Linked DNA regions of Anolis sagrei. The protein of the gene in region 1 interacts with the protein of each later gene in a biochemical or structural test. Links are inferred from orthologs where the notes say so. Each region holds a gene or a part of one and is shown in the gene's direction. Other genes may lie near its edges.

What was found.
Region 2: the proteins of TRIM28 (region 1) and CBX1 form a complex in vitro, tested with the Homo sapiens proteins (3 studies listed by BioGRID). The link is inferred for Anolis sagrei from reciprocal best matches to the Homo sapiens genes TRIM28 and CBX1.
Region 3: the proteins of TRIM28 (region 1) and IRF1 form a complex in vitro, tested with the Homo sapiens proteins (2 studies listed by BioGRID). The link is inferred for Anolis sagrei from reciprocal best matches to the Homo sapiens genes TRIM28 and IRF1.

Annotation. Positions count from the first base shown.
Region 1 is NC_090026.1:26,897,513-26,905,860, reverse strand, and holds the start of TRIM28 (transcription intermediary factor 1-beta), read left to right. Parts: upstream 1-5,128; 5' UTR 5,129-5,332; coding exon 5,333-5,645; intron 5,646-8,348. UniProt on the Homo sapiens protein: Nuclear corepressor for KRAB domain-containing zinc finger proteins (KRAB-ZFPs).
Region 2 is NC_090026.1:33,851,784-33,859,526, forward strand, and holds the start of CBX1 (chromobox protein homolog 1), read left to right. Parts: upstream 1-4,488; 5' UTR 4,489-4,756; intron 4,757-7,743. UniProt on the Homo sapiens protein: Component of heterochromatin. Recognizes and binds histone H3 tails methylated at 'Lys-9', leading to epigenetic repression. Interaction with lamin B receptor (LBR) can contribute to the association of the heterochromatin with the inner nuclear membrane.
Region 3 is NC_090022.1:94,713,125-94,720,937, reverse strand, and holds the start of IRF1 (interferon regulatory factor 1), read left to right. Parts: upstream 1-4,558; 5' UTR 4,559-4,812; intron 4,813-7,813. UniProt on the Homo sapiens protein: Transcriptional regulator which displays a remarkable functional diversity in the regulation of cellular responses.

The DNA of each region.
Region 1 (8,348 bases):
TTGTAAACTTTTCCCCACCCTGTGCAGTCCAAAAAAGTTCACATTTCCTAAAAGCCAGGAACAAAGCAGCTGCTTTGACTGGGAATCTTTATTATAATCACTTTCCGCCTTTCTTTTTAATCTGACGTTTGCAGTGGTTTTATGCATTTCTTTTAAATCTGATGTTTACATAAGTTTTATGGTTGGTTTTCTCCTTATTAAGCTGTTGCTATCATCTGCCTTAAAATGTTGATGAAGAGATTGCAGGATACAACTAATTTCTGTTGGAAACAAACAAGCCAACATTGGATTTGTCTCCTGGAAAGAAATGGGCTTTGTTACTCAAAGCAGAAATCTTTTTTCTTTCAATGTTTCACAGATGAACACCAGGATAGATATGATCAAGCAACATTAGACTGTGGTCAAGATAAGAATTGATAAGAGAAGCTGCAGCGGGTTACTTTTGCTTGAACATACTGGGAAGTCCAGGATCTGTGGCGCTTAGAGCAGTGTTTCTCAACCTACCTAATGCCGGAACCCCTTGATATAGTTCTTCATGTTGCAGTGACTGCCAACCATAAAATTATTTTAGTTGCTACTTCATAACTGTAATTTTGCTAGTGTTATTTATTTATTTAATTTGTTTACCGTATTTATATTCCGCCCTTCTCACCCCGCAGGGGACTCAGGGTGGATTACAATGTACACATATATGGCAAACATTCAATGCCAAAGACACACAACAGATATAGACAAACAGACAGAGGCTTTAACTTTTTCTGGCTGCCAGGGGAGCTGTTGCTTTCATCGTCCATCTGCGACACTGATGAAGTACTTCCGCATTCCCCGCATGCTTTTGCTGGAGTGCTTTGCTGGAGTCTTTTTTATAGCCTCGTAAATTTTGTTAAATTAGCCTCCTCACACATAGGTGGTACCTAATTTTCCTACTTGACAGATGCAACTGTCTTTCGGGTTGCAAAGGTTGACAACAAGCTACACAATTGGTCGGAAGCTCACTCCGACCCGGGCTGGCTTCGAACTCATGACCTTGTGGTCAGAAGTGATCTTAATGCAGCTGACACTCGGACAGCTGCGCCACAGACCCGGTTATGAATCACAATGTAAGTATCTGATATGCAGGATGTATTTTCATCCACTGGACCAAATTTGGCACAAATACCCGATACTAGGATTTACAATTCACCAACAATCAAAGAGCATTCTGAACTCCACCAATAATAGAATTGGGCCAAACTTCACACACAAAACTCCCATGTCTTGAAGGGACTCGCTAGTGCGAACCTCCCTGTAACCTCACACGCTCTCCCTCGCCCACACATGCGCACCAAACTGCCATGTGTCAAGCACACCTACTCTCGCCTCTCCATTTGGAGTCTCAGGATTAGCCCTCACATGCTTTCCCTCATCCACATATGCGCACCATGTGCCGAGCACACCTGCTATTCGCAGAGCACACCTTCTCTCCCCTCCCACTTGGAGTCTCAGAAACAACCCTCCCCTTGATTGAGAGGTCGGCTGAGAGGCTGGCAGAGGAGGGCTTTTGGTGGGATGATTCCATGTCTTTTTCCAAAAAGGAAGAGAAGGACAGGCAGAGAGATCTTCAGCCTTTTCTACAAAGAGGTTCCTAAGACCATCAGAAATATATGTTTTCTGATGGTCGTTGGCGACCCCTCTGAAACCCCCTTGCAACCCTTCAAGGGGCCCTGACCCCCAGGTTGGGAAACACTGCCTTAGAGGAAAGGAGGACAATTTGTCAAATGATGGCATTCCCCACATTAGAATTCTTCCCCTCAAATTTTCCTCCAGTCCCCAAATTTCTAGCCTTGCAGTAACATAAAACCACAGTTGATCATTTAGAAATACAGTTTAGATATCAAAAGGAAAAGGCAGGCAAAATTACTAAGAGAATGGCAGTACACAAACATAGAGTTCTAGGTAAGTATTATTTTCAGTGTCACATTCTTGCAATACTAGGAATATAGGGATTGAAGAAATATTTCTGGGGGTGGGCAGAATATTTATGGGAACAGTCTTCATTTTGTCCCCACTGCAGCTGTACTCCTACTGCATGTGTGCATGCATGTGCACAATGAGTATTGCATTTATTGGTCAGCATTTTTCTTTCCCTGTTATAAGGCTTTGCTAAACCCAGTACATAAAATTCAGGATTCCTCTGTTTAAAATAAGAGGTGTACATGTTCTTTCTCATTAATAATTCTTGCCTTCGCTTTGCTTGGTCACACTTTTTTGGTCACACTCAGATGTTCAGTCACACACATCCCAGTTTATATCTGTGAAATAGGGATGGTAGACTCTCAAATCCACTTCCTTTTCAAACAAGACAAGACAGTACAGACAATAGAATAGAATCCTGATTGGCGAAAGAAAAAAAATCAAAATAGACTCATCATGGGAACCATTCCCAATTTTCAACTGAGGTTATTATTTGCATACCATTTCAGATTGGAAGGAGGTGAAGAAGAATAGCCAGCAATGGGAAACATTTGAAACTTGAAAACTGGGGGTGGAGTTCCTCTCTTCACATTCCACATTTGAAATAAAACAATGTTGTTAACGGCATTGTTTTCCCCAGGTGTGCAATCAATCAATCTCTCTCTCTCCCTTTTCACCAAGTGCTGGGTGAAATGCTTGCCTTTGCAGCTCCTGCCATTTTACTCTCTTCATACCCTTTCTACAGCTTTGTGCTAATTTGACACCAGACATTAAGAACTCAGCTGTTGGCTCATGCCTCTGTTCATTTTGTTTTGCAGGATTTTAATTTTGGAAGTCAGCTCCTCCTGATGTTCACATTGTTCACTCTCTTGTATGAAAGACTTGAAAGCTCAGAGGTCTTGGGAACATTTTGGAAGAATGGACAAAGGTTTAAGATGTCTGTGGTTGGTTTAAACTGTTTTACTGTATTTTAGCAGATATCCATTGACCCATAGAACCCAGTTTAGAAGAGCCGATGCAAGGCAGCACAAGCCAGGCTTCAAAGCAGCAATACCATTAAATGCTAATCAAGGTGGCGATTTGCAACATTCACACTTGCCTCAAGCAGACAAGGGTTGTTTCTCCCACCCTGGACATTCCACAGATATATAAACGTCACTTGTCTTGTTTCCAACAGACCTCGAAACCTCTGAGGATGCCTGCCATAGATGTGGGTGAAACATCAGGAAAGAATGTTTCTGGAACTTGGCCATACAGCCCAGAAAACTCAAAAACTCCCTTTGGGGAGATGGTGGCGGGGTATAAATAAAGCTTATTTATTTATTTATTTACGGCATTTATATGCCGCCCTTCTCACCCCGAAGGGGACTCAGAGCGGCTTACAATATATATTTTCATACAATATATTATATTATTAGCATAGTACAATATCAGTATATATTACTACATTGCACTATACCATTATATTGTAATATTATTAGTAATATTACATGTAATGTAAATATATTATAATTATAATATTGAATTATTATTACTAGTGTTATATTGTATTACATTATAATATTATAAATATTATATGTATATATACTATACTATATTATATTATTAGTAAAGACAAGATGGAAGTGTCTTCTGCTCCCTTCTGTCTTTGCTCTGGCCAGACTTGGTGCCAGCTTATTGTTGTTATTATTAATTATGCGGAGCCCCCGGTGGCGCAGTGGGTTAAACCCCTGTGCTGGCAGGACTGAAGACCAACAGGTCGCAGGTTCGAATCCGGGGAGAGGCGGATGAGCTCCCTCTATCAGCTCCAGCTCCTCATGTGGGGACATGAGGTCTAACCGCTTTGGTTAGACCACACCTGGAATATTGTGTCCAATTCTGGGCACCACAATTCAAGAGAGATATTGACAAGCTGGAATGTGTCCAGAGGAGGGCGACTAAAATGATCAAAGGTCTGGAGAACAAGCCCTACGAGGAGCGGCTTAGGGAACTGGGCATGTTTAGCCTGAAGAAGAGAAGGCTGAGAGGAGATATGATAGCCATGTATAAATATGTGAGAGGAAGCCACAGAGAGGAGGGAGCAAGCTTGTTTTCTGCTTCCTTGCAGACTAGGACGCGGAACAATGGCTTCAAACTACAAGAGAGGAGATTCCATCTGAACATGAGGAAGAACTTCCTGACTGTGAGAGCTGTTCAGCAGTGGAACTCTCTGCCCCGGAGTGTGGTGGAGGCTCCTTCTTTGGAAGCTTTTAAGCAGAGGCTGGATGGCCATCTGTCAGGGGTGATTTGAATGCAATATTCCTGCTTCTTGGCAGGGGGTTGGACTGGATGGCCCATGAGGTCTCTTCCAACTCTTTGATTCTATGATTCTATGACATGAGAGAAGCCTCTCACAAGGATGATAAAAACATCAAATCATCCAGGCGTCCCCTGGGCAACGTCCTTGCAGACGGCCAATTCTCTCACACCAGAAGCGACTTGCTCCTGACACGACAAAAATAATAATAATAATATTGTATTTACATATTACTTGTAAGCCGTTCTGAGCCCCCTTCGGGGTGAGAAGGGCGGCATATAAATCTCGTAAATAAATAAATAATACTGCCATATAATCCAGATTATCAAATCAAATAATCTGCTTTGAACTGGATTACCTGAGTCTACACAGCCATATAATCCACTTCAAAGCAGACCATGCGGATTTTATATAGCAGTGAGCAGATCCAGCCTATGCACCGGCCATTTAATAATGCTTGGAGGAAAGCTCCTCTGATCTTCCAACATGGAGGATACAACAAAAGAGAGGAATTGGTCCATCTCATCCAGGGACACCTTTACTTTGCTTTATCCATGGCCTTTGCTGTCTCCTTTTGGCCCAACTCCTCCACAGACTGGTTGCTATGGTTACAATCTCTTAACCCCCCCCCCCCCCCTTTTTTTTCCTCCTTACATCCTGCCTTCAAAGAGCGGCTTGACATTTTTTTTCCCCTAGTCCCGCTTTGTTCCAATTGGACCCGTGCCGGAGCGAAGAGGGATTTGATTGGACCATTTATCTCATTTCCCGACGGCCAATGGATGCCAAACCCATCCTTCATTGTTTTGAGAGACACTGATTGGTTAAGGGAAGGAAAGTCCCGCCTTTAGAACGACCGAACGTTGCCTGGGCTCGATGTACCCGCCATTCATTGCGGCGAGTGGGCGGGGCTGCAGGAGAGCGAGAGAAAGAGAGGAGGCGGCGGCGGTGGTGGTGGAGAAACGAGGCCTAGAGTAGCGGGCCGACCTTCCATTCCAATCCCATTCCTAGAGAAGACAGGCCGCCCGGAAGGCCCTTATCACCCTCCGCCTTTCCTTTCGCAGCAGCCGCAGCCACCCCTTGATCATGTCGGCCTCTGCCACGGCCCCTGCTCCGGCGGAGACTGGAGGCGGTGGCGGAGGAGGACCCGCCACTGGGGAGAAGCAGCCGCGCTCCTCCGCCGCCTCTTCCTCCGCCGCCTCGGCCTCTGCCTCCTCCTCCGCCGCCGCGGGCGCCCCGCTCAACGTGGAAGGCCTCGACCTACTGGAGAAGTGCGCCGTCTGCAGGGAGAAACTCCGCTCCGAGCGGGACCCAAGGCTCCTGCCCTGCCTCCACAGCGTCTGCAAGGAGTGCGTCAAAGTCGAGCCCGCCGGCGGAGGAAACAACAAGGAAGGGCAAGGTGAGCTGCAGGTGTCCTCCTAGTCACCGCCCTCTTTCTTATCTATGGGCCAATTTGGGCCTTGCAGGTGCTTTGGACTTCAACTCCCACCATTCCTCACAGCCTCAGGCCGCTTCTTTTTCCCCCTCAGGCTGAGGGGGAAAAAGAAGCGGCCTGAGGCTGTGAGGAATGGTGGGAGTTGAAGTCCAAAGCACCTGCAAGGCCCAAGTTGCCCCCAGGCCCTTCCACACAGCCATATAACCATATATCAAACCATTATCCCCTCCTTCCACAATATCTGCTTTGAGCTAAGTTATCTTGAGTCCACACTGCCACATAATCCAGCTCAAATGTGGATTTTATACAGCCCTGTGGAAGGAGGGGCCTAAGATACTCAAGGAGGGAAAGCCCCTCCATTAGTGAGGGAATTAGGCCTAAGGAGAGAATTATTCTATCATCTTGGCGAGAGAAATAAACAGAGGAATTACTATAATTATATTTATACCTTGCTTTCTTGAAAGAGAAAGACAAGCCTTAATATTATTCTATCTTATTGGTGATGGGAATAAACCCAAGGATTTACTATTGCTGATTATATTTATACCTTGCTTTCTTGAAAGAGAAAGGCACCCTTCTCGTTTTGTAAAAGAAATAAACCCAAGGAATTACTATTGCTAATTATATTTATACCTTGCTTTCTTGAAAGAGAAAGACACCCTTTATATTATTCTATCTTCTTGGTGAGAGGAATAAACCCAAGGAATTACTATTGCTAATTATATTTATACCTTGCTTTCTTGAAAGAGAAAGGCACCCTTCTCGCTTCGTAAAAGAAATCTGAGAAATAATTGTATTATTATAGTTCTACCTCTTGGAAGAGAAGAAAAGCCTTCTCGTTTTATGAAAGAGGCGGATATAAATATAATTATTATATCTTCTCTTGAAAGAGAAGGAAATTCTTGTTTTGTGGAATAAACCTTAGAGAATTATATTATTATCTATTTATACCTCATATTTCTTGAAAGGAAACACTCCTCACTTTGAAAGAAACCTATGAGAATGTTGTTATTATTCCACGTTTTCTTTTGATAGAGAAGCCTCGTTTTGTGAAAGAAGCCTCTATTATTATTATGATTATTATTATTTAGCAAATAATTTTTATTAAATTATTTTTATTATGATTATTATGATTATTATTATTATATCTCACTTTTGTCTCTTGAAAGAGAAGGGAAACCCTTCTCGTTTTGGGGAATAAACCTTAGAGAATTATATTATTATATATTTATACCTCATTTTCTTTTCTTGAAAGAGAAGGAAATCCTCCTCACTTTGAAAGAAACCTAAGAGAATGTTGTTGTTGTTGTTATATTATTATTATACCACGTTTTCTTCTCTTGAAAAAGAGAAGCCTCATTTTTTGAAAGAAGCCATTATTATTATTATTATTATTATTCCTCACTTTCATCTCTTGAAAGAGAAGGAAACCCTTCTCGTTTTGGGGAATAAACCTTAGAGAATTATTATTATTATTATTATATATTTATACCTCATTTTCTTTTCTTGAAAGAGAAGGAAACCCTCCTCACTTTGAAAGAAACTTAAGATAATGTTGTAATATCATTCCACATTTTCGTTTTGTGAAAGAAGCATATTATTATTATTATACCTCGTTTTCGTCCCTTGAAAGAGAAGGAAACCCTTCTCGCTTTATGAAATTAACCTAAGAGAATTATATTGCTATTGTTTTTATATATTTCTCAGGTTTCTTTCACAAAAAATGAAGGGTTTCCTCAAGCGAAGCCAGCGAAGTATAAATATATAATTAATAATACCACTAATATAATTTTCTCAAGTTTCTTTCACAAAACTATGAGTTTCCTTCTCTTTCAAAAGAATAAATCAAGGTATAAATGTATAATAATATAATTCTCCAGTTTCTTTCACAAAATGAGAAGATTCCTTTTCTTTCAAGAGAAGAAAGAGAGTTATAAATATAATACAATTATTCTCAGGTTTCTTTCACAAAACAAGAAGAGTATCCTTCTCTTTCAAGAGAAGCAATTTAGGCATATATAGTAATAATGGTAATAATATAATCTCGAGTTTCCTTCTCTTTCAAGAGAAGAAAGCGGGGCATAATAATAATAATAATAATAATAATATTCTCAAGTTCCCTTGACAAAGAGAGAAGGCTTTCCTTCTCTTTCAAGAGAAGCAAGTGAGGAATAGTACTAGTAGTACAGGCTTCTTTCACAAAATGGGAAGGCTTTCCTTCTCTTTCAAGAGAAGAAAATGAGGTATAAATATAATCATCATCATTTTCTCAGGTTTTCTTTCACAAAATGAGAAGTTTCCTTTTCTTTCATGAAAACGAGGGATAATTATATTTATACATCGCTTTCTTGAAAGAGAACACTTCTTGTTTTGTGAAAGAAACTTGAGATTACTATTACTATTATTATTATTATATCTTGTCTTGAAAGAGGACACCCTTCCTGTTTTGTGAAAGAGAATTATTTTTTGGATTTATACCTCGCTTTCTTGAAAGAGAACTCTTTTCGTTTTGTGAAAGAAACTTGAGAATATTACTACTATTATATCTTTCTTGTCTTGAAAGAGAAAGAACCCCTTGCTGTTTTGTGAAAGAGAATTATTTTTTGTATTTATACCTCGCTTTCCTCCCTTAAAGGAGAGGAGAAGCAGGAAAAGGGAGGGAGATAT
Region 2 (7,743 bases), about 7.0 Mb from region 1:
TGAAGTGGCTGTCTAGTGTATCTGGGAAACACAGGGATTGAAGCAGATGGGCTGTTTATTCCTGACATCTGTATGAGGAGATGGGGAAAAGGCAAGAAAGAACCTTCTCTGCAGTTGCTCCAGCCCCTGAAACTCCCTCCAGAAGGAAATTAGAATGGCCCCATCGCTGTCCTCCTTTACTGTACAAACCAAATAAAAACCTTCCTATGTGCCCAGGCTTATGGAGATTGAAATGGTTAAAGATCCGGCCTTATGAAATAGGAATGTAATACGGGCATGGCTTTTAACCCTGTATCTCCTTTTATGAACCATCACGAAGCTTAAGATCGTCAGAGGAGGCCCTGCTCTCAATCCCACCGCTCTCACAAACACGGTTTGGTGGGGATGAGGGACAGGGCCTTCTCAGCAATGCCCCCCCCCCCCCCGTCTGTGGAATTCCCTCCCTAAGCACATCAGGATGGCCACCTCCCTCCTGTCCTTTAGAAGACAATTGAAGACTTGGCTTTGGGACCAGGCGTTCGTCCAGTGGATAGCGACAATTGGAAGGAAAGTTAGGACATATGCGACTGGATTTACCCAACTTGGTCTTGGTTTTAACTGGCATCTTAGCTTTTTGTTTAATGAACTTGGTAATGTACCTGTATAACATGTTTTAATGATTTTTTACTGTTTTCATTGTAACCCTTGTTGCTTATATGTTGACAGCATCACACGATGCTTATGTGATGTGGGGGCAGTTTTAAATATATATATATTGATTTTTCCTTTTTGGTACAAAAGTCAACAGAAAAGTATATATTGGGTTGTTGTAGGTATTTTCAGGCTATATGGCCATGTTCTAGAGGCATTCTCTCCTGACGTTTTGCCTGCATCTATGGCAAGCATCCTCAGCGGTAGTGAGGTATATATTGATATATATATTGTATAAAATATATATTGATTTTTCCCTGTTTGAACTGCCTGTATATGTCAGATCTGCTGACCAGCACAAGGTCACAGGAGATATGACCCGAACACGCTGACTTTCCAGATGATTAAGATGTTTTCCTATGCATTAATAATTAATTAATGTCAACAAGTTATATAAGCAATTGTATATAAATATGTGCTCTGTTTAAATCAAGGTGTGTGGAAACCCCTTGTTTCAGCTGCGGGCTGAGGTTTCCCACCCTTTTCCATGGAAAAGTAAAAAGTTTTGAACTTGGAACTCTGCTCTAGCCTGGTGTCATTCTTCCACCCCATTTGCATCCCAACAGACAGGCTGCTGTCTGCTGCAACAATGAGGCTGCCCTGAGTCCCCCTTTGGGAGGAGAAGGGCAGGGTAGAAATGTATGTAATAATAATAATAATTTTTATCAATATTGTTTTTAATTTGTTATTATGGTTTCTCTTGTGATTTGTATTATTGTTGAATGTGCTGTATTGTCTATTAGTTTTTTTAATTTATTGTAGTATTTATTTTTATTTTACTGACATAAAAACACAGTATGTCACAGCAAACGAGATATATATGCTGGATTTCGTATCACAAAATCACAAGTCGAGCACTTCCAAAGCGTCTAGAACTGTGTGGTGTATTTTCGAATGATGCACGCAGATCCAAGTAAGGTGGCATTTTGCAGTTGATAGATCATGATTTTGTCAATGTTTATTGTTTCCAAATGCAGGCTGAGATCTTTTGGCACAGCACCCAGTGTGCCAATTACCACTGGGACCACCTGTACTGGTTTATGCCAGAGCCTTTGCAATTCGATTTTGAGATCCTGATGACAGCTGAGTTTTCTCCTGTTGTTTTTTTGTGAATTCAGGTATCACCTGGAATGGCGACATCAATAAACTTTTTTTTATTTTCCACAATCGTGATGTCTGGTGTATTGTGTTCCAGCACTTTGTCAGTCTGGATTCAAAAGTCCCATAGTATTTTTGCGTGTTCATTTTCCACTACCTTTGCAGGTTTACGATCCACCAATTCAGGCATGTAGCCCCCCCCCCCCCCCCAAATTCTCATGGTGGTTCGCGAAAAGGCCTTACTGGTGCAGTATTTAAACTGTTATGTTTATTAATATCATGATTTGATCACCATTCTCAATATATCCCATATGTATGGGGGTATTGGGGTAATGATACAAAAGGTTTGCTAGGCTAGACCCTCTTTCACTCAGACTCAGTCCCCCCCCCCCCGAAACTCAGCCCCCCCCCCCCGAAACCCCCCTGAAAAATTTTTAGCCCCCCCCCCCCCCCCCCGAAACGAAATCCTGGCTACGGGCCTGCACCAATTATTTACTGCTGGCAAGTGGTACTTGTGGCCTAAGTTCCAATGAATCATTTGGGCCACAGAGTTGTGCCTCTATTTGTAGTCTGTCTGTGCAATTTTCTTGCAGCAGCTCAGGATATGATCAATGGTTTCATCAGCTTCCGTGCACAGTCTGCATGTTGGTACATCAGCTGATTTTTCAATCCTGGTCTTAATTGCATTTGTTCTGATGGCTTGCTCCTGGGCTGCAAGAATCAGGACTTCTGTCTCCTTTTTCAGTGTTCCATTAGTGAGCTATAACCAGGTCTTCCCCGTGTGAATGTTTCCTTCAATTTTGTCAAGGAATTGCCCATGCAATACTTTGTTGTGCCGTCAGCTCTGGTTTAAGGGCAGTTTTCTTGTACTGATTATTTGTCTGCTGTGCTTTGAGAAGTACAAAGCAAGTATTATTATTATTATTATTATTATTATTATTATTTTATGGCAATGAATGTTTGCCTTTTATGCTGTGAGACGCCCTGAGTCCCAAAGGGGAGATAGAGTAGGATAGAATAAATTTTTACCTAGGTGCCTTCCACATATTATCTGCTTTGAACTCGATTATATGACACTGTGGACTCATATAACTGAGGGCTCTTCCACACAGCCATATAAATCACAATATCAAAGCAAAAAATCCCACAATATCTGCTTTGAACTGGGTTATCTGAGTCCACACTCAGATAATGTGGGATTTTCTGCCTTGATATTATGGGATATAGGGCTGCGTGGAAGGGCTCTTAGCGTACCATGGAAATTTAGCATAAATTTGACTCTCCTTAGTTCAATCAATCTCATAAATTTTTATTTGAGGGCCCTACCACACAGCTGAATAAAATCCCACATTATCTGCTTTGAAGTGGAATATATGGCAGCATGAATTCAGGGCCCTTCCACACAGCCCTATATCTCAGAATATTAAGACAGAAAATCCCACAATATCTGCTTTGAACTGGGTTCAGATAATGTGGGATTTTCTGCTTTGATATTCTGGGATATAGGGCTGTGTGGAAGGGCCCAAAGAAAATACATCTATATAAATAAAAATGTAATGTTTGTTTGTGGGATTAACAGAACTCAAAAACCACTGGGCAAATTGACACCAAATTTGGACACAAGACACCTCCCAGGCCAATGAGTGACCATCACTCATAAAAATTCTGGAAAACACAGCAGAAGGGACGTAAAAAGACAAAAAAATACATTAATAATAATAATAATAATTAGAAATCCAGCACTGAAAAGCTAGGCTACTGTTCCTGAGCTTGCGCAGAGGGTCATAGAAATATCATAATAATAACATAGAATAATATAATAATAAATATATAATATAAGTAATACAATAATAAAATAATAATAATAGAATAATAGAATCTAGAGGTCACGAAGAGTCGGAGACGACTGAACGAATGAACAACAGCAACAAATATAAATAAAGGAGCCCCTGGTGGCGCAGTGGGTTAAAGCACTGAGCTGCTGAGCTTGTTGACCGAAAGGTTGCAGGTTCGATTCCGCGGAGCGGTGTGAGCTTCCGCTGTCAGCCCTAGCTTGTGCCAACCTAGCTGTTCGAAAACATGCAAATGTGAGTAGATCAATAGGTACCGCTCCAGCGGGAAGGTAACGGCGCTCCATGCAGTCATGCCGGCCACATGACCTTGGAGGTGTCTACGGACAACGCTGGCTCTTCGGCTTAGAAATGGAGATGAGCACCACACCCCAGAGTCAGACATGACTGGACTTAATGTCAGGGGACTACCTTTACCTTTACCTATATAAATAAAAGTGTAATGTTAGTTTGTGGGATGAACACAACTCAAAAACCACTGGACGAATTGAGACCAAATTTGGACACAAAACACCTCTCAGGTTTCACCCATAAAAACACTGGAAAACACAGCAGATGAGACTTTAAAAACACACATATATACACATGTACAGAAATATACACACACCACACATATACACAGACTGGGCCACAGTAACGCCACAGCAACGCGTGGCAGGAGATGGCTAGTTTTTAATAATTGAGAAAAGGACCCAAAGAAACCCGGAAACAGACGCTCTAACTGTGGGTGGATTGTCTTTCATTAAAAATCTATGGGGCGAAGGAAAAGGGGTGGGCGATCACATCCGGTCCCAGAATGCCGCGGGCGAGTGGCGAGTGTCAGGGCGGGAGGGAGAAGAGGGAGGGGGGTGTCGGAAGTTGGCTAGCGCATGCGCCGTGCGCCTCGGCGGGTAGAGGGGTTGCAAGGACTCTTTTGTTTGGCGGAGGCGGATCGAGCGCGAACCGCCGCTCGCTCTCTTGGCCTCTCTCTTTTGCCGTCCGTTCCTGAAGTCCGAGGGGTTTCCGCTCCGCGCGCGCTCTCGGCTCGGCCTGCAGCCGCTTCGTGGTGGTGGCGGCGCCGACTGGGGTGGTCGTTTGGAAGCCGCTCGCCGCGCGCTTCCTTGGTGGGGCTTCCTCAGGTAAAGAGGCCGAGTGAGGAGAGATGGGGAGGGGGCGTCTGAGGCACCTCAGGCCTGGGCGGCCATATTGGGGGTGGGCCCAAGGGGGGAGGAAGGGGCGCGAAAACGCGGGAAGGAGAAACACTCGAGCCCCCTGCGTGGGTTCCTGAGGCAGCTTTTCTGGGGCGGGGAAAGGAGCCATATAGCGACCCTTTTCTCAGAGAGGAGACAGTAAAGAGTGGTGGGAAATATGTTCACGAAACGGATGAGAAGTATGCTGGGTTTCCAGCCCTGTGTGAACTGTTTTTGTTTGTGCTTCTTTGTATTGTGTTTGAGTGAATGTGTGATGGTGGGGAGCTCAACAATAGAAGCTGCACGGGAAAGACATCTGAGGGGAAGAAATATGCTTGCAAGTGATGCCCGTGTGAAGAGAAAGTGGCGTGTGTGTGGTTTTGTGTAGGAAAAGGCGTTTTTATCAGGCTGAATATTCCTTGCCTGAAGTGTTTGGCGTTTTGGAGTACTTGCCAAAGTCCCAAAGGAGTTTCGGTGTGTCATAACTTCTTTAACTTTTGTTGTTTTTCATTTACAATACAGTAGCATCATATATAGTAGAGCAGGCATGGGCAAACTTCGGCCCTCTTTGCCCGTGGCGAGAAAAAGCAGGTAGAAATAAACAGCAATAATAATAATAAATGCAGGCCACCCCCAAGTTACAAACAAGATATGTTCTATAAGTTTATTCTCAAGTTGAATTGTGGCAGCCATTAGGAGAAAATATAATTATAATTATAAAAATGCATTTAAGATGAACAGAAAAAAGCCTTACCTTAAATGCTGACGAGAGATTTCTACAGCAAGGGAAATTCAATAGAACAATAAAAGATCGGAGTGGCTTGTTCCATAAATAATTGGAAAAGTAAATGTTGACTTTAGATTAAACATAGCAGGCTAGAGGCCTCGTGAGTTAGGATAAATATATAAATCATTAAGAGATCAAAGAAGTTAAGTACCAATGGAACATGTCATCTGGAAATAATAAGTAGAAGTTAACAATTATATGAAGTGAGCGAATGTTTGTCATCTTGACCTTGCCAAGGGAATGACCAGGGTGGGACAAATAATTCTTGTCTGCTGGAGCTAGGTGTGAATGTTTCAACTGACCACCTTGATTAGCATTTGATGGCCTGGCAATGCCTGGGGCAATCTTTTGTTGAGAGGTAATTAGATGTCCTTGTTTGTTTCCTCTCTGTTGTGCTGTTGTAATTTTAGAGTTTTTTAATACTGGTAGCCATATTTTGTTTATTTTCATGGTTTCCTCCTTTCTGTTGAAATTATCCACATGCTTGTGGATTTCAATGGCTTCTCTGTGTAGTCTGACATGGTAGTTGTTACCCTAGCAATTCCACAGATATATCAACTCTTTTTCCTAGTTCCAACAGACCTTACTACCTCTGAGGATGCTTGCCATAGATGCAGGCAAAACGTCAGGAGAGAATGCCTCTAGAACATGGCCATATAGCCTGAAAAATCCTACAACAACCCTGTGTGGTGTTTTGCTTTCTGTGCCCTTGTTCGCCTCACTTCCTGTCTCTGGTCATTGGGTTTTGAAAAATTTGGCTTGTTGTGGATAAAAGGATTGGTGAGAAAGGTTCAGGGAAGACACCTTTCCACCATAACTCTTCCAGGAATGAATTTCCCATCATAGAGATAGATTTCTCTCACTTCCTCGTTCTTAACTAGGAGTCGTTTGTAAGTTGGATGTTTGTAATTCATGGTCTGCCTGTATAGAGGACATTACATTACACATAAAGTCTTCTCAAAAAGTTACTAAAACATCAAACACCTTTGTGATTTTTGGCCCACCTTTTACATTGAGTTGTATCTTGAAGATGGGGCCCAAATGTGCTCAGAGGCTGAAGATGATTTTATATTATTTTAAAACAAAACAAAGTTTTATTGTATTGAATCACCAGAAAGCAAAGATTTCACTATCTCAGCTAGCCATGTGGACAACTTTAGATTCTAGTGTACAGTATTTTAGAATTCCAGATAAGGGATGAACTACGTTGATATTGTTACAAGGGGGTGGATGCACATGTGTTTATGTATAGTATGTGGGCAGTTTTTAAATTTTAATGTATTCTGGAATTTAGGGGTGCTCATTAAATATAGTGGAGAATTGTTACCAGGAGGCAGGTTTACATGTAAGTCAATCTGAATAAGATTTATAGAAATTGAAGGAAAAAAGCAGAGGATATGCATTCTTTTGATGTTAAATGCAATTTTCCAAGCCCAGAGCCCAAGTGATTTACTAACATTTTGATAGTTTTGATCTTTACTCATATACAGCAATGTGCTGACACTTAAAATTCATTTTAAAATGGATTTGGTACCTTTTGGAAACAAACTCCACATATATAAAATGTAGCAAGTTTTCTTTTTCTAAATTGTATAAAATACAAAGATTATGGATTGTGTCCCCTAATACATATTTGGAGAGGGATGTTGGCAGAGTATTGCACCTAATATTTGATAGAGGACATTGTTTCGAAGTTAAGGAATGGGATGATGAACGTGCTGTAATGTTTTTAAGAGTGAGGCTACGATTATGTTTTAAAGTGTGCAATAGAGTCCCTGTGTACAATGTTTTTCTTAAGGTAGAATGAAATAAGAGCATTAGGAGAGATGAGCTTGTTGTATGGATGTTGCTCCAGTACAGAGCTAATAAAAGTGAAGTGCCATGATAGTGTGAGGTGGTTCTCCCACAGTGTATCGTGGAAGTGATGGAGAGGCATTCCTCTGCCTTCCCAGAAGATTTCCCCTTTCAAGTTGGACCAGATCTACACTGCTAAATAATGCTGTTTGAACTGCATTTTATGGTCAGCGTAGACTCATATAATACAGTTCAAGCTCAATCTCTTGGCCATTTCATATATTGAGATAGCAAAATATTTTACCAAAGGGCAAAAGTTCAAAATAGACACATGTTGCCGCACAATGATGTTTAA
Region 3 (7,813 bases), on another chromosome or scaffold:
TTCAGAATAACTGTATAGTTAACACTGTCATAGGTGTCTTATAGCACTATACCTGCCATGGTACGATCCAATGGAATCCTGGAATTTGGTGAGATTTTCAGTTTGTACACCTGAATCACAGGCTGTATCTACACAACCATATAATGCAGTTTGAAAGTGTATTATATGATCAGTGTAGCAGACCCATATAGTGCAGTTCAAACCAGTTGAGCTGCATTATATGGGTTATATGGGTCTATACCAGTGGTTCTCAACCTGTGGGTCCCCAGGTGTTTTGGCCTACAACTCCTAAAAATCCCAGCCAGTTTATCAGCTGTTAGGTTTTCTGAGAGTTGAAGGTCAAAATATCTGGGGACCCACAGGTTGAGAATCACTGATCTACACTGACCGTACAATGCACTTCTAAACTGCATTATATGGCAGTGTAGTTCCCATCCCAGTTCCCAAAATACCATGTTCCTATCAACGCTATGGGTTCAAAGTGATTTCTTCTTCAGTCCCTTTCATCTCGGAGTACCATGATACCTTTCAAGTATCTCAACAAACTGCACAATTCCTTTGAAGACAGCCATGACAATTAATATGGTATCACACTGATGTAAGTGTGCAGTGCAAACACCCTTTAATATTGTCTTTTCTGAGTGAGAGCAGTCTTCTGAGGAATGAGACAGGAAGCTTTACCAGACCAACTTGGAGATTCCTGGAAATGCACTGCCATCTTTGCAAGGGAAAGCACATGGTCTCCTACTCAGAGCAGGTGCAGAGTGGCTGAGGCAGTGGTGACTTAACCTTGACTTGTGATGAGATTGTAACCAAGGACTTCCTGTCTCTGAGATAATAGTCACACCCAGCTCTGAAGTCCCGCAGACACAAAAGAAGCAGAATTGCATGCCTTTAAAGGAACCTGCATGTTCATTTGCTGCGTGGCCCACAGCTCTGCACTTTCCTCCTCAACATGTGAGGGAGATGCCTTGAGGAATGGTGCACACAAAGGATTTGCAGCAAGGGAATTGGGGGGCAACTTGTGTGCCACAGTCCTCCTTTCTGCACCTCCACTGTCATATTTGAGGTCCACCACCACATGGACAGAGCCAAAGCACACGGCTCCTTGTCATTACCCAGTCATGATATCAAGCTGCTATCATAGTGTTAAGGTTCACACGATTAACTGTTACAGCCTTGCCATGTGGCAAATATCTAGAAGAGCATCCCCTGTGCTGCTTCTGCTGTTTGCTGTTGTCACCAAAGCAGGACTGGTCAAAGTGGTGGTCTATGGACCAGTGCCAGTCTGCAAACCATCGGCCATGGAGAGTTTCCAGGAAAGCAAGAAGCAGTTGAAGCTAATGGGCACAATTACGGTGCCAGTCCCTGGCACTTAAGAAGGGGGAAATCCCTATTTTTCCCCCACTTCAGATACCATGAGAAGCACTGTCCCAAATGTGTTGGTGTTATTAGGCTGGGCTTTAGCACAGCAGCTTAAACCACCAGCTGCAAGAAAATCTTGCTGATCAAAAGATCAACAGTTCAAGCCCAGGTTGGGGTGAGCTACCAACTGTCAGCCCAGCTTCTGTTCACCTAGCAGTTTGAAAACAGTAATGTGAGTAGATAAACAGGTACCACTTTGGTGGGGAGGTAATAAAAGGCACCCATGTAGACATGCCGACAATTCAATTGGGAGAGTGTGTAAAGGCAACAAAGCTCCTCAGCATGGAAGATGGACTGACAGCATATTGCCCCACCCCCATAGCCAGAGTTGAGCACAGCCTCCAAGTGCCAGAGATCAAAAATGATGGGAAGCTTTCACCTCTGTTTGTGTACTGTCTGTCTTTGTTAACTGTATAATGCCATTGAATGTTTGCCATATATGTGTACTGTAATCCACCCTGAGTTCTCTAGGGGAGATAGGGTAGAATATAAATAAATTATTATTATTATTATTATTATTATTATTATTAATTATTAGAAACACAACAAGATTAGTACACAGCAAACAAGGTCACTATGCTGGCTGTTGGATTGGATCACTCGTCGGACACTTCCCAAGTGTCTAGTACTATGTGATGTATCAGCAAATAATGCGTGCAGATCTGAGTAGGGTGGCCTTTTGCAGATGATAAATGCTAATTTTTGTCAGTGCCGATTGTGTTTAAGTGCAGGCCAATGTCTTTAGGTACTGCACCCAGTGCGCCAATCACCACTGGGACCACCTTTACTGGCTTGTGCCAAAGTCTTTGCAGTTTGATAAAATTTCTGCCAGTTCTGTAGTTGTTTTGCTTCCAGTTTCTCTACAAGCCCATGCCCAGGTTGCTTAGCAGTGGGTCCTGGTTCCTGTAGTCCACTTGTCAACAGGTGCCCAGGAGAAGCACTCATCGCAGTCCTTATTATCCTGGACGATGACTGAGCCAGTATAGATTTCTTTAGAGTTTGTTTCACCATATTTAAATGAGTTGGGTGCACTTAGTTCATTTAAGACCACATTGGCTTGGTTGAACCTGGTAGTTTACACTACCACCAGCACAGCTCTCAGCATCATAGATGCAGTTAAGCCCCCTGCCAACGACAAGGTGGCACCCAATGGGGGGTTGTTGTTGTTGTTGTTATTAGCTGTCTAGTTAACTTGGACTAACAGAGACCCTATGAAGAGAGAGAGTTCCAAATCTGTCATCAACAATTCTTTACTCAGGTTAATGTCTTCCTTGACTAAATTGATCTACTTGTGCTGCAGTTTCTCTCTTTTCCTACTGTTTTTGACTTTATCAAAGATTATTGCCTTTTCTATGAGTCATATTGTCTCATGGCCAAAGTATAGCAGCCTTGATTTAGTAATTTTCACTTCTTGTTCAGGCATGATTTGCTCCAAGACCCCTTCACTTGTCCTTTGAGTAGTCATGGTATCCATACAGCTCTTCCCCAGCACCACATTTCAAATAAGTCAATTCCCCCCCCCCCCCCCCCGCGTTAACTTTCTCAACTTTCTTGCATATGCATAGTAATTGGGTTTGTGGCCTGGATGATCCTGACCTTTGGGATTTACTGATACGCATATCTTTACACTTAAGGACCTCCTTGAGTTCCTTCATGATTGCCTGTCAAGGTCCCAGGGCCCTTCCAGGCAGGCCCTATATCCCAGGATCTGATCCCACGTTTTCTGTTTATCCCAGATTATTTGGCAGTGGAGACTCATATAATTCAGTTTAAAGCAGAAAACCTGGGATCAGATCCTGGGATACAGGGCCTGCCTGGAAGGGCCCTCAGTCTTCTTCTGATTCTGTTTTGGTTCACATCTGAACTAAGGTATGGGAAATAATGTTTCAATGTCTGTGATGCATACAGGAAGTTTGTACAAAGCTATCCTCAGGAGCTGCCAAAAGACATCTCTGCTGAGATCTGATTTCTTTTTCCTGTGCATGGTGGACTGACATGAGCAGATTCCAAGGGCTATTTCAGAGCTGGAAGAACTGACAGTGTGCTCCCAGAAACATTTGTCCTAATGCTTGTGTGTGCGTGTACAGTGGGCCCTTCCTATGTTCTGGGATTTGGTTCCAGGACCTCCATGGATTGCAAAATCTCTGGATGCGTAAGTCCTATTACCAACGATGGCATAGAAAATTGCCATGGCTGTGGAATAATATCTGTAGTTTGGTTTTTTTTGGGTGTGATGAGCAACTTGAGAAACTGCAAGTCGCTTCTGGTGTAAGAGAATTGGCCATCTGCAAGGATGTTGCCCAGGGGACGCCCAGATGTTTTACCTTCCTTGTGGAAGGCTTCTCTCTTGTCCCTGCATGGGAAGCTGGAGCTGGCAGATAGGAGCTCACCCTGCTCCCTGGATTTGAACCGCCTTTCGGTCAAGCAGTCTTGCTGGCGCAAGGGTTTTGCGCCACCGGATTCTCCTTGTAGTTTTTTTGATAGGACACCAGCACTCTTTGGAAGAGAGGGCTCAAAACTTTGCAAAACGACACCTCCTAGAATTTCATAGCATTGAGCCATGGTAGTTAAAGTGGTGTCTAACTGCATTCATTCTGCAGCGTAGATGCTGCCTAGAAGACAGGCGCCCAAAGTGAGGCTGTTAAAGGCTCCTCCCTAAACTACAAACCCCAAAATTCTGCAGGAGGCAGCAACCAGATTTAAAGTGGGTTCATTCTCTAGTGCGATGAAGTAGTAAGTATGGGTTAGAACTGGATGTCCCAAGTCCCAGCCCATCTGCACTGTAGAATGAATGCAGTTTAGCGCCCTTTTCATTGCTATGGAGTAATGGGGGACTTGAACCCCATCTGCCAAGAAGTACTGCTGCCTCCCCAAAACTGCAACTCCCACGACTGTAAAGTACTGAGCCATGGCAGTGCAAGCGGTGTCCAACTGGATTCATTCTGCAGTGTAGATGCGCCCTCCCTGGCTCTCCCTCCCAGCCGGGAGTAGCCAGCCAACGAGGCTCCAGGGCCGCGGGCCGAGGGGCGGGGCCAGGGAAGCCGGACTTCCCCTTCGGTCTCTGGTGCTACAACAGGCTGATTTCCCCGAAATGATGCGGCGCTCGAAGCGGACTCCCTGCCGGGCGCTGATTGGCGCAGCCCTTCCCCTCGGCGGCGCTGATTGGACGCCACGCACGGCTCCCTCGGCTGGGGATTCCCAGGGACCTGCGGGAGATATACCACACCGCCCTGGGTCCAGCGCGGGCAGAAGGTGCCAGACCCGGACGGAGAAAGAAAGAAAGAGGAGCCTAGAGATCAGGTGCAGCCACAGGCATCGCTCCGGTTCTGTTCTGCAGCGAGGAGGAAAGCAAGCCAGTGCAGCCCATCCGCGACAGAAGCGAAGAAGGTGGGTCCGAGGAACTCCTTTGCACTCTGATTTGGATTTGAGTCTCCTTTCAGGGATAAAATAATAACAACAATAATAACAATGATAATTTTATTACTATTTGATATACAACAAGATTAGTACGCAGCAAACAAGATAACTATGATAGTTGTTGTGTTGGATCACACTTTTATTATTTATGATGATGATTATATTAAGGTTTTCGCCTGGCATTAAGTCCAGGCGTGTCCGACTCTGTGGGTTGGTGCTCATCTCCATTTCTAAGCCGAAGAGCCGGCGTTGTCCATAGACACCTCCAAGGTCATGTGGCCGGCATGATTGCACGGAGCGCCGTTACCTTCCCGCCGGAGCGGTGCTTATTGATCTGCTCACATTGGCATGTTTTCGAACTGCTAGGTTGGCAGAAGCTGGGGCTAACAGCGGGACCTCACCCCACTCCCCGGATTCGAACCTATATATATGATGTATATTATATTATATTATATTATATTGTATTATATATATTATATATTCTATTCTATTCTGTGTTATATTATATATTATATAATATATAATATAAAATATATACTTTATTATATATTATACATAATATAATATATAATATATATACATTATTATTATTTATTTATTTATTTATTTATTTCCTTGTGGCATTTGGCTTCACTTCGGTGCAAGTTTCTCCTCTGCACGGGTAACAAACAAGAGTTCCCTTCGAGCTCTGCAAGGATTTCTTTAGCATGCATGCATCTACACGGTGGAATGAATGCGGCTTGATCCCATGGCTCCATGCTATGCAATCAGGAGGAGGGTTGTGTGCCAAGGAGGGCTGGCGCCTCATCCAACGACAGCTCGCAGGATTCCATAGCATTGAGCCACGGGCGGGTAAAGTGGTGCCAAACCGTATTCATCCTGCAGTGTAGATGCACCCGAAGGGGAAGGCGCTGCAACGGAGTGAACTGGGCACCTATTTCTTCCAACAAGTCCGTTGGAAGTCACTTTAAAGCAATCTTTTTTTCTGTGTCAGGAGCGACTTGAGAAACTGCAAGTCGCTTCTGGTGTGAGAGAATTGTCGTTGCCCAGGGGGCGCCCGGATGTCTCCCCATCCTTGTGGGAGGCTTCTCTCTTCAGGTCCCCGGTGCGCGCGGCAAAAGCCCGGCAATAGAAAAAAGTCGCGCCCGTTTCCGGCAGAAGGGGAGCGGAGGCCAAGCTCTTGAGGCGGAGGTCCATAGTTGCTCAGGCTCAGATGCTGACCGAGAAGTTACTCCAGCGTGAGCAAACCGGATGCTGGGACACTTGGAAACGGGGGGAGATCAAAAGTTCACGCCTCGAGCCAGGAGCCCCCCATGGAAAAGAGAGGCCTCGCTTGTGATGGATCCTCTCTGGGTTGCTTCCAAGGTGGGAGAGGATGGTGGGAGCGGGCAGCAAGTCTCCTGAATTCAGTTCATTTGAACTCACTTCAGCTGTCCTGGCTCAATGCTATGGAATCGTGGGAGTTATAGTTTGGCGAGGCAACAGCACTTTTGGGCAGAGAAGGCACAAGACCAGGCAGGGGCCAACTTGGGCCTTCTGTCCAGGTGTTTTGGACTTCACCTCCCACCATTCCTAACAGCCTCGGGCCCTTTCCTTTTCCCCCTCAGCCGCTTAAGCTCGAGGGGGCCCGAGGCTGTTAAGAATGGTGGGAGGTGAAGTCCAAAACATCTGGACAGAAGGCCCAAGTTGGCCCCTGCTTGTTGTAATAACTGCACCAATTATTCCATTTGTTAAACACGCAAAGAGTGATAATCTCTACTCCTTCCAGAGCTGCCAAAAGGAACTAACTGCCCAGAAGTGCGAAAGTATTTTTTGTGTTGTTGGGACCAGGAAGTAATACCTGTAAAAATGAGGCAAAGTGTTCAGGGAAACGAACCTAGCTTTGCCCCCTTGATCCTCGGTGTCAACAACAACAATAATAATATAATAAACTTTATTTGGGTGGTTGTGAGTTTTCCGGGCTGTATGGTCATGTTCCAGAAGCATTCTCTCCTGATGTTTCGCCTGCATCTATGGCAGGACATGCACGGGAAACCAACCTAGCTTTGCCCCCTTGATACACAGTGTCAACAATAATAACAAAAGTAACCAAAACTAAAATACTCTCCATCTTAAAGTCAGACCATGCTCCCATAGAAATAGTAATAGAAAATATAGAAGAAAAAGACAGAGTAAGAAAATGTAGGTTAAACGACCATTTAATCCAGGGCGGATTATTAATGGAATACTTTAAATTAAATACAGAAAAAGATACACCAATAGAAATAATATGAGATGCCAGTAAGGCCTACATGAGAGGGCAACTCATAGAGCAAGGTATAAGAGAAAACAGGAAAAGAAAACAATACTACAAAACAGAAGAAGAAATTATAAAAAATGTTAACACAGGCTAAAATAAATCCTCAGGACAAAAAGATCCAATACCAATTGGACCTACTAAGGAAACAAATGAATACACTAAACTTAGTTGAGATGGAAAAACAACAACAATATAATAAAACTTTATTTGGGTTGTTGTGAGGTCTCACAACTCTGAGGATGCCTTCCATAGATGTAGATGAAATGTCAGGAGATAATGCTTCTGGAACATGGCCATACAGCCCAGAAAACTCACCACAACCTAGTGATTCCAGCCATGAAAGTTTTCAACAATACATTAAAACTTTACCTGTATTCCGCCCTCTCCCCGAGGGGACTCAGGGAGGATTCTAACAAAAGATAGCAAACATTCAATGACAAACACATTCATAAATGAAAATTCAAAACCAAATTAATTAAAGACCTCATAACCTCTGAGGATGCCTGCCATAGATGGAGGCGAAACATCAGGAGAGAATGCTTCTGGAATATGGCCATACAGCCTGGAAAACTCACAACAAACCAAACTAATGAAATATCAAAAAGAAACAACAGCTACAATAAAAATTGAACAAAAAATAAATAATAACCTAACCTATTACCTTACATTTTA